Daphnia pulex: one gene and its partner. The protein of the gene in region 1 interacts with the protein of each later gene in a pairwise test. Links are inferred from orthologs where the notes say so. Each region holds a gene or a part of one and is shown on either strand. Other genes may lie near its edges.

Region 1 (3,756 bases):
CCATTAAACCCAGAAGCTTGTTTGCCAGGGGTTTTTTTTTTATTTACTTGGCATGGCAACAACCTCACGGTTTGGGGGGGTAAAACCACAACAACAACAACAATACACTCTCGTCCGCCCATCCGCCCAACGGTATCCAGTGTACAGAGAGTTGGCGCCCTTGGGCTACGCACTAACGAAACGTAGAGTATATAGTGATGGTGGCCAACCCAAAGAGATTCGTACCCTTATCCAGCGATCCAGCCTCGTAAAAACGTGTTTCCTTCAAATGAGCTTCAACCAGCGTAGTGCATTTAACTCGAATAACATTTCATTGGCCGACGATAAAACGTGATTGTCTCTCTTCAAAGCCGGTAAGTGCGTGACGCAACGCCACTCGCCTTCTCCACCCTCGCCCACTACAAGTAGGGGGCACTTGCCAATTTCTCATCAAGCGGTTAGCGATTCTCTTTTCTAATTTTCTCGAGAAAGGGACTGGTCTCGTGCTGGTCCCACATAACACAAATTCAAAAATTAAATTATCTTCACTGGTCCTCCACCAAGTCCATTTAGTAGGCGACTTAAAAGACGACGGGGTAGTTGACGTCATTGCACGCAGCGCCGGGCACTGACAGGGAAGGAGGATCAATACCCGGGCGGGGTGAGTTCAAGCTCGTCTGGGCGTCAATGAACAGCCGCTCATTATGTTTGAAGATGAAGACTCACGACGAGCAAACGCTCATCCTCAAACTCTTGCTGGCGGGGTATTTGAATTGAGCAACGAACCGTTGCGTCAAACTCCGCGTCCCAACAACTTTTCTTTATTTTTAAATCGATAATGACACGGCCGTGTTGCAAGTTGGTTTTAATTTATTTTTTAATTCAACAGTTTGTTGATTTTTTCTTTTCCGAATAATTCATCAATAATAACGGCGGGTAAATAAAGCGAATGATTTTTTAAATTCAACGATTTTCAGATCTGGTAGGGAGAACGTGTAAGTCAACAAGGTGGCAACGGCCAATCCCGTGGCTCTCTTGTTGGTTCAGCTCGTCGACCCGCAACACGCTTCAATCAGCTTTGGAAAACGTTTGCGCTGCTGGTGTTTGTTGATGTCGAAATCAAAATCAACATGGCGTTTGTGTGTGTGTTGGGGGGGGGGGGGCGAGGGCGGGAAATCGATCGGAGCTTTTGATACAAGCCGACGCTCCCAAAAATGCTCTTTAAAAGTTGAATACATTTTTCCTAGAGCGATTCGCCTAATTCTCCTACAACTTTTTTTCGTTTCATCCAGAGTCGAATAAGAAAGCCACGCACTCGGATGAGATTTATTTGAGCTTATTCATGGATTCGCCAAGTTCCGTTTCCCACATCGCTTCATCAAAAATGAAAAATGATTTTTCTTTTGGCTTTTTATACACGCCACCCACTCCCGCCACAGTTGCGAATAAATTCAAACGAAGGTTGTATTGGGTTCTTACCTCCATCGGGAACGACGTCGAGGCGGCCGTGACGCAAGATGACGACTGTTGTTGAATGCTGTCGCCGAACCGCGTCGGAATGATGACGGCTGCCGGCCCTGACTGTTGATTAGCCGTTTCCCATTTGCTTGCCATTTGCAGCGTCTCGGCCGTCTTTTGTTGCACCGTTTTCGTCTCGTCCAGCAACGTCAACTCGTAAAATTCCTGAATGTCTATTTACAACGGGGAAAACGTGGAATTAGTTTTGACAGCCGCATTAATGGAATGGAAATGGCGCTCAATTTGAAATAGATTGAGAGGTACATAACAATCAAATTCAACACGCGCCAACGACTTAATATCTTTAAATTAGAAAAGTAATCAAAAACAAGGAAATTTCGTCGTCGTCGACGTTCCATTGTTGGAAAACTTTTGTGTGTGTGTGTGTGTCGGTATGGCCGCCAACCAATCCTAGTAGCCGGAGCTTAATTGAATTCCGAATAACCAACCATGCGCGGATCGAGACGTCGGCCGATTGCGTGGCAGAGTCGAATAATTCCAACTTTGAGCGCCACGAGCGGAGTAGAATCCGAATGGATCGTCACAAAATCGGACAGCCGGCCGGCGGACAGCTGGGCGGCCGCCGCCCGTCGGACAAGTGCACTCCAAGGTGCTTAGCGGTAAGTTTTGAGCGGAACGGGAGAAGGATTGAGCTTGTTGGAAGAATCTCGGAGGCTGCTGAGAGATGGGGTAATGTTGCTGGAAACGCTGGAAACTGTCGCGATGGATGGACGAAGAGGAGCGATGGATTTGCACGTTCTGCCTCAAAGGCGGCGGAGGCGGCGGAGGGATCACATCGTCGTCAACAACGTCCTCCTCGTCTTGTAGTTGTTGCTGTTGTTGTTTAGAGTCGGCGAATGAAACTGGAGGAGGCAACAGTAATAGATGCTCGTCCAATCCGGGATGATTGGACGACCGTTTTCTTTTGTCTTTTCTCACTTCCGCTCGGATGCGCATTAGCCAAAGTAAGCCGAACAGGGCCATCATAATGGCCACCAACCGGGGCCTGTCGTCCGGGACCTCTCGATAGCCATCACATCACTCATAGACCCTGATGGACATACTAATAATCCTGCGTGGTGCTTTTTGTTTTGTAATTTTATCCGGGTACAAGATCACTCGAGGCCGCCGTCCTGTCGACGAGAAAGGCAACAACATCCACCACCACGGAAGAGGCGAATACATCTGCTAACGGCTGATGCTGGTCTTCTCCTCCTCACTCGTATGTACAACACACACAAAACGGACCCAGCGTCTATATAGCGGCGCCGGCGCCGACTAGCTCTTACTCGATCGACAGTGGCTCTTGAAAATCCACTTTCGCCTTCCATTCATCAACGTCTCTGCATATAGACAGATTAGGTAGTAGAAAACAGCAACAGTCGGTCGACAGACTTCTTTTGTAAAAACCCACCAGCCCACATCGTTTCCCTATTTACTTTTTCTTTCTTGGAAATAAATAAATAACAAAAAGGATCCAGAGGATTAGACGACGTGGGCCTCAAAACTAATCCGGTCGCGGTTGTTGGCTTCCAAAAAACCCCAAGACGGACTACTGCGGGGCTTGATTGCCCACCCCAACTAATACCCATGTATATATGGCTGCCAGCGCAGAGCAGTACTAAATAATTCACGGAATAAAAATGTATGACGATGAAAAATAACCCACCCAAAAATAAGAGACTTTTCTTTTTTGACATTTCCGAATTAGACTTTGTGTTGTTATGGATGACGGAACAGCGGCAACACACACACAACGTCCATTCGACCGAGAAGATTGTGTGTCTAGAAAGAATCGAAAAACGATGACTTGATTTGTGTATGCAAATCTGATTTTCTTTTCTCTTCTCCCTTTTTTAAATCACAGTCCCATTCGACTGTTTAGTTTCCCGAGCAAAACGACAGAAAGAAAAACAAGACGAAATAACGTTATGGATCGTCCCGGGATTGTCTGTCTGTCTATGTGTGCGACCAACGGAATATAGTTGGAAGAAGCGGCCCAAAATTGATAGATCTCGACAGCAATTTTCCAGTTCTGATGGATGTTATAATCTTCGGGGAGTGCGGTATTATATTCTACACAAAACAGAAGAAAAAGAAGGGCTTTTCTTTTTATTCTTGTTTGGTTTGGAAACCATAATAACAAATCATAAAAAAAAAGAGCCCCCCAACCACCATTCTTTGGTGAATACAAGAGAAAATCGATCGATCGGCCAATACGCCCACGCCATCTAGCAATCAGTTCACCAACTTTTTGGT
Region 2 (3,750 bases), on another chromosome or scaffold:
AGAAATTAAGTTGAGAACGTGTTATACAGGACTTATCACAAAGTTTATTAAACGGTGAATTTCAGAAACATGTTATATTCTCCAGATTATGTTTTAAAATGACATCATGGCCTTGGAAAAGAAAGTAACCTTTGAATTTTTTCCCTGACAAGAACAGAGGGAACCACAACTTATCATCAACCCACATATCATCAAAAGGAATGTCCGTAACATTAAACCATTTAGGTAACATCTCTTTATATGAAAAAAGAAGATGTAGGAAAACATAATTAAGTTTATTGACTAATTAACTCTGTCTAGTTTTTAGAGTAATTTACCTTCTGTTTCAAAAGGATGGCCTTCATATTTAGTTGAAGTAAATACGTGAACTTCCAAAATAACAGGATCCCCCACGAATTCAAAATTGATTAGGCCAATCTTTTCCAAATTTACAGGTAAGACAACAAGTCCACATTCCTCTCTCAATTCCCTATTTTTTCATTCACATAACTTTTTGCATTATAGGTAAAATCCCTTTTCAAATATTTTTCATCTCTCACCTAGCTGCTGCTTCGTAAATACCTTCCTTTGCTTCCACTTTCCCTCCGAAACCATTCCATTTGTTTACTCCAAATCCTCTCTTTTTATAACCAAGCAATACTTCATTTAGCTTTCTAATCAAAACTAATGTTAATACTTTACGGTTCATGCTGGATTGACTTCACAGTGCTTCACAGCAATTAACACAAGTACTGAAAGGCCTTTAAACATTACAGCTGATTACAGATTGAAACACAGAAAAGGAAAACAGGCGAAGGAGATATAACGACATCTATCGAGGTGTCGAAGAGTGAGGAACTTCTTGAAATAGCTTGAAATGGTAGAGTTTTCTTGGCCTTACTTATCAAAGTTGTTCATTTTTCCCCCTACGTAACCGTCGCTACGTACGCCTCTAGTAACGGAACGGTGTAGTCCGAATCGTCTGCTTCCAAATTTACCTCGCAAGTTTCATAATTCCATCCACGTGGAATTTTGCAAGATATTCGAAATAATTCTGGTTACAGTTTGAATTCACCATGTCTTGGCTTTTTGGATTAAGGAAGGACCCTAGTAGCACTGGCTCAGTACCACCCCCTGCCGAAAGTGGTGTAGACGACAATTCCAATACCGGTCAACCGCAAAATCAACAACCTCGTGGGAATGTTGGTGGAGCGCGGGCTTCAGATGCTTATAGATTTGACTCTTCGGCCTTAGAGAGAGCTGCACAAGCAGCTAAAGAATTGGAAAAATCTAGTAAGTTTGTATCAATATGTTGAATAAAACATTACTTAAAGTTTTGTTATTTAGAATTTGCCAGAGATGCTTTGGATTTGACAAAAGCTCAAGAACAAACAAGACAGCAAGAGCAAATAGCCAAAATCAAGGAGTATGAAGCACACATTGAACAATTAAAAGTTGATCAGAAACGTGTAGATCATGAAGAAAGAAGAAAAACTCTTCAAGAAGAAACAAAACAAAATCAACAAAGATCTCAATACCAGGATCAATTGGCTCGGAAGCGATATGAAGATCAATTATTGCAACAACAAAGAGCTAATGAAGAAAATTTGAGGAAACAAGAAGAAAGTGTTGCTAAGCAGGAAGCTTTGAGAAAACAAACTTTGGAGTATGAGATGGATCTTCGTTCAAAAACCGACATGAAGAGACTTGAAGCTGAAATGAGAGCAAAAGCCAAGGTTGACAGAGAGAATCAAGATCTATATCTGGAACAAATTCGTCTTAAAGGTACAGTAACTAAATTTTCATATTGTAATTCTATTTTAACATGTTTCATTTATTTTTTACAGCTTCTGAAAATCGTGCCACAGTCATGGAATCCATAAAAACTGCTGGTGCTGTTTTGGGAACTGGGTTCAATACTTTCCTTTCTGACTGGGATAAAATAGCTGCAGCAGCAGCTGGAATCTCACTACTTGCCCTTGGCATTTATTCTGCCAAAGGTGGTACTGGTGTAGTTGCTCGCTATATCGAGTCCCGAATCGGAAAGCCTTCTCTAGTTCGTGAAACATCGAGAGTAAACCTTGTTGATACAATTCGCCACCCTATCAAAACTATAAAGGCTATCAAGGTACTTCCAGTTAAACAGATTACATTTTAGATATGTGGAGTATTTATGGAAATGCTTTCAGGCTAAATCAGAAGATGCTTTGTCTGGAGTAGTTTTGGAGCCCAAGTTGGAGGAACGCTTGAGAGATATTGCAATCGCAACAAAAAATACTAAGCAAAATAAGTAAGCAGACATTTTTATCTTTATAATCATGTATAGCAACAAGCTGTTCCTGTTTATTTAATGTGTTTTTAAAGGGGTATGTTCCGGAACATTTTAATGCATGGACCGCCAGGAACTGGAAAAACTTTGTTCGCCAAAAAGCTAGCTAAACATAGTGGGCTCGATTATGCTATATTGACCGGCGGTGATATTTCACCGTTGGGTAGGGATGGCGTTACGGCTATACACAAAGGTTTGATTATTTTTTTATTTTTCTTGTAAGATCAAACTTGCTCATAGAAATATTTTCTTTCAGTTTTTGATTGGGCTAATGGCTCTCGACGAGGATTGCTTTTATTCGTTGATGAAGCAGACGCATTTTTACGGAAGAGATCTTCAGAAAAAATCAGTGAGGACTTGAGAGCTACACTAAACGCTTTTCTTTACCGTACCGGCGAGCAATCTAACAAGTACGTCCGTTGTCGTTTTAAGTTTTTTTTTTTTTTCAAAATAATTATATTCTTCTTTAAATCTTTAATTTCAGGTTCATGATGGTTTTGGCTTCCAATACTCCAGAACAATTTGATTGGGCAGTTAATGATCGATTAGATGAGATGGTAGAATTTATGCTTCCGGGATTGGAAGAGAGAGAACGACTGGTACAATTGTTATTACTATTTCGTTATCTGTCAAGTCTACAATTTTCAACTGTTAGGTTCGGCTCTATTTTGACAAGTTTATTTTACAACCGGCTGCAGAAGGAAAAAGACGGTTAAAAGTTGCACAGTTTGATTACGGTGCGTTATGCACTAAAATTGCCAGTGAAGTGAAAGGAATGTCAGGCCGTGAAATAGCTAAGCTCGGTGTAGCTTGGCAAGCATCTGCTTATGCGTCCTCTGATGGAATTCTTACCGAGAAAATGGTAATGGAGAAGGTTAAAGATGCCGTTCAGCAACATTGTCAGAAGGTCTGTACAATTTTTAATTGATTTGTTTTTAGTTATTGGTTACTTAATGTATGCTGTATGACAGGTTGAATGGCAAAGTGAAGAAGAAAGAGGAAATTTCAAAACTATTAGCGCTAAAAACAGGAGTTTTCTTTCCCAATCCGGAGTTGAAAAGTCAAAGAATAATTAGATTAAAAATTGGCCGTAGTAAATGATGAAATTTCTTGAACAAATGTGGCAATTACGACGCGTTACATTTTGCTTTGTTTGTCTTGTTGCTACTTTTGTTTGACAATATATTCCATACATTATGGATTATGGTCCATCGTTTCCTCTCCCAGAGTCAAATTTGTTTACCCGTAGTTACGTCATAGTTTTAATAAAAATAGTCGGATTCCCATGATGTGTTTAAAGTCTTCTTTTATGTATTGGTACTTTCATAAGCAGTTACATTGAAAATCTCAATCTTCGTAAAATCGTGGAAGTTCATTACCCAAAACTGTACGACGTTCAATTCCATCTTCTGTGATAATTCCCAAACGAACAACACCACCAC

What was found. The genes of interacting proteins can lie anywhere in the genome.
Region 2: the proteins of disks large 1 tumor suppressor protein-like (region 1) and ATPase family AAA domain-containing protein 3A homolog interact in a two-hybrid assay, tested with the Caenorhabditis elegans proteins (3 studies listed by BioGRID). The link is inferred for Daphnia pulex from reciprocal best matches to the Caenorhabditis elegans genes dlg-1 and atad-3.

What each region holds. Positions count from the first base shown.
Region 1 is NC_060025.1:300,674-304,429, reverse strand, and holds the start of disks large 1 tumor suppressor protein-like, read right to left. Parts: upstream 2,632-3,756; 5' UTR 2,485-2,631; coding exon 1,947-2,484; intron 1,671-1,946; coding exon 1,459-1,670; intron 1-1,458. UniProt on the Caenorhabditis elegans protein: Essential multidomain scaffolding protein required for normal development. Recruits channels, receptors and signaling molecules to discrete plasma membrane domains in polarized cells. Required for proper embryonic elongation.
Region 2 is NC_060023.1:4,564,502-4,568,251, reverse strand, and holds ATPase family AAA domain-containing protein 3A homolog, read left to right. Parts: upstream 1-866; 5' UTR 867-1,055; coding exon 1,056-1,272; intron 1,273-1,326; coding exon 1,327-1,764; intron 1,765-1,826; coding exon 1,827-2,107; intron 2,108-2,168; coding exon 2,169-2,269; intron 2,270-2,343; coding exon 2,344-2,501; intron 2,502-2,564; coding exon 2,565-2,718; intron 2,719-2,792; coding exon 2,793-2,907; intron 2,908-2,963; coding exon 2,964-3,215; intron 3,216-3,279; coding exon 3,280-3,384; 3' UTR 3,385-3,521; downstream 3,522-3,750. Other genes in the region: proteasome subunit beta type-6-like, read right to left, coding at 3,656-3,750. UniProt on the Caenorhabditis elegans protein: Essential for mitochondrial network organization, mitochondrial metabolism and cell growth at organism and cellular level. Important during development for the up-regulation of mitochondrial activity during the transition to higher larval stages.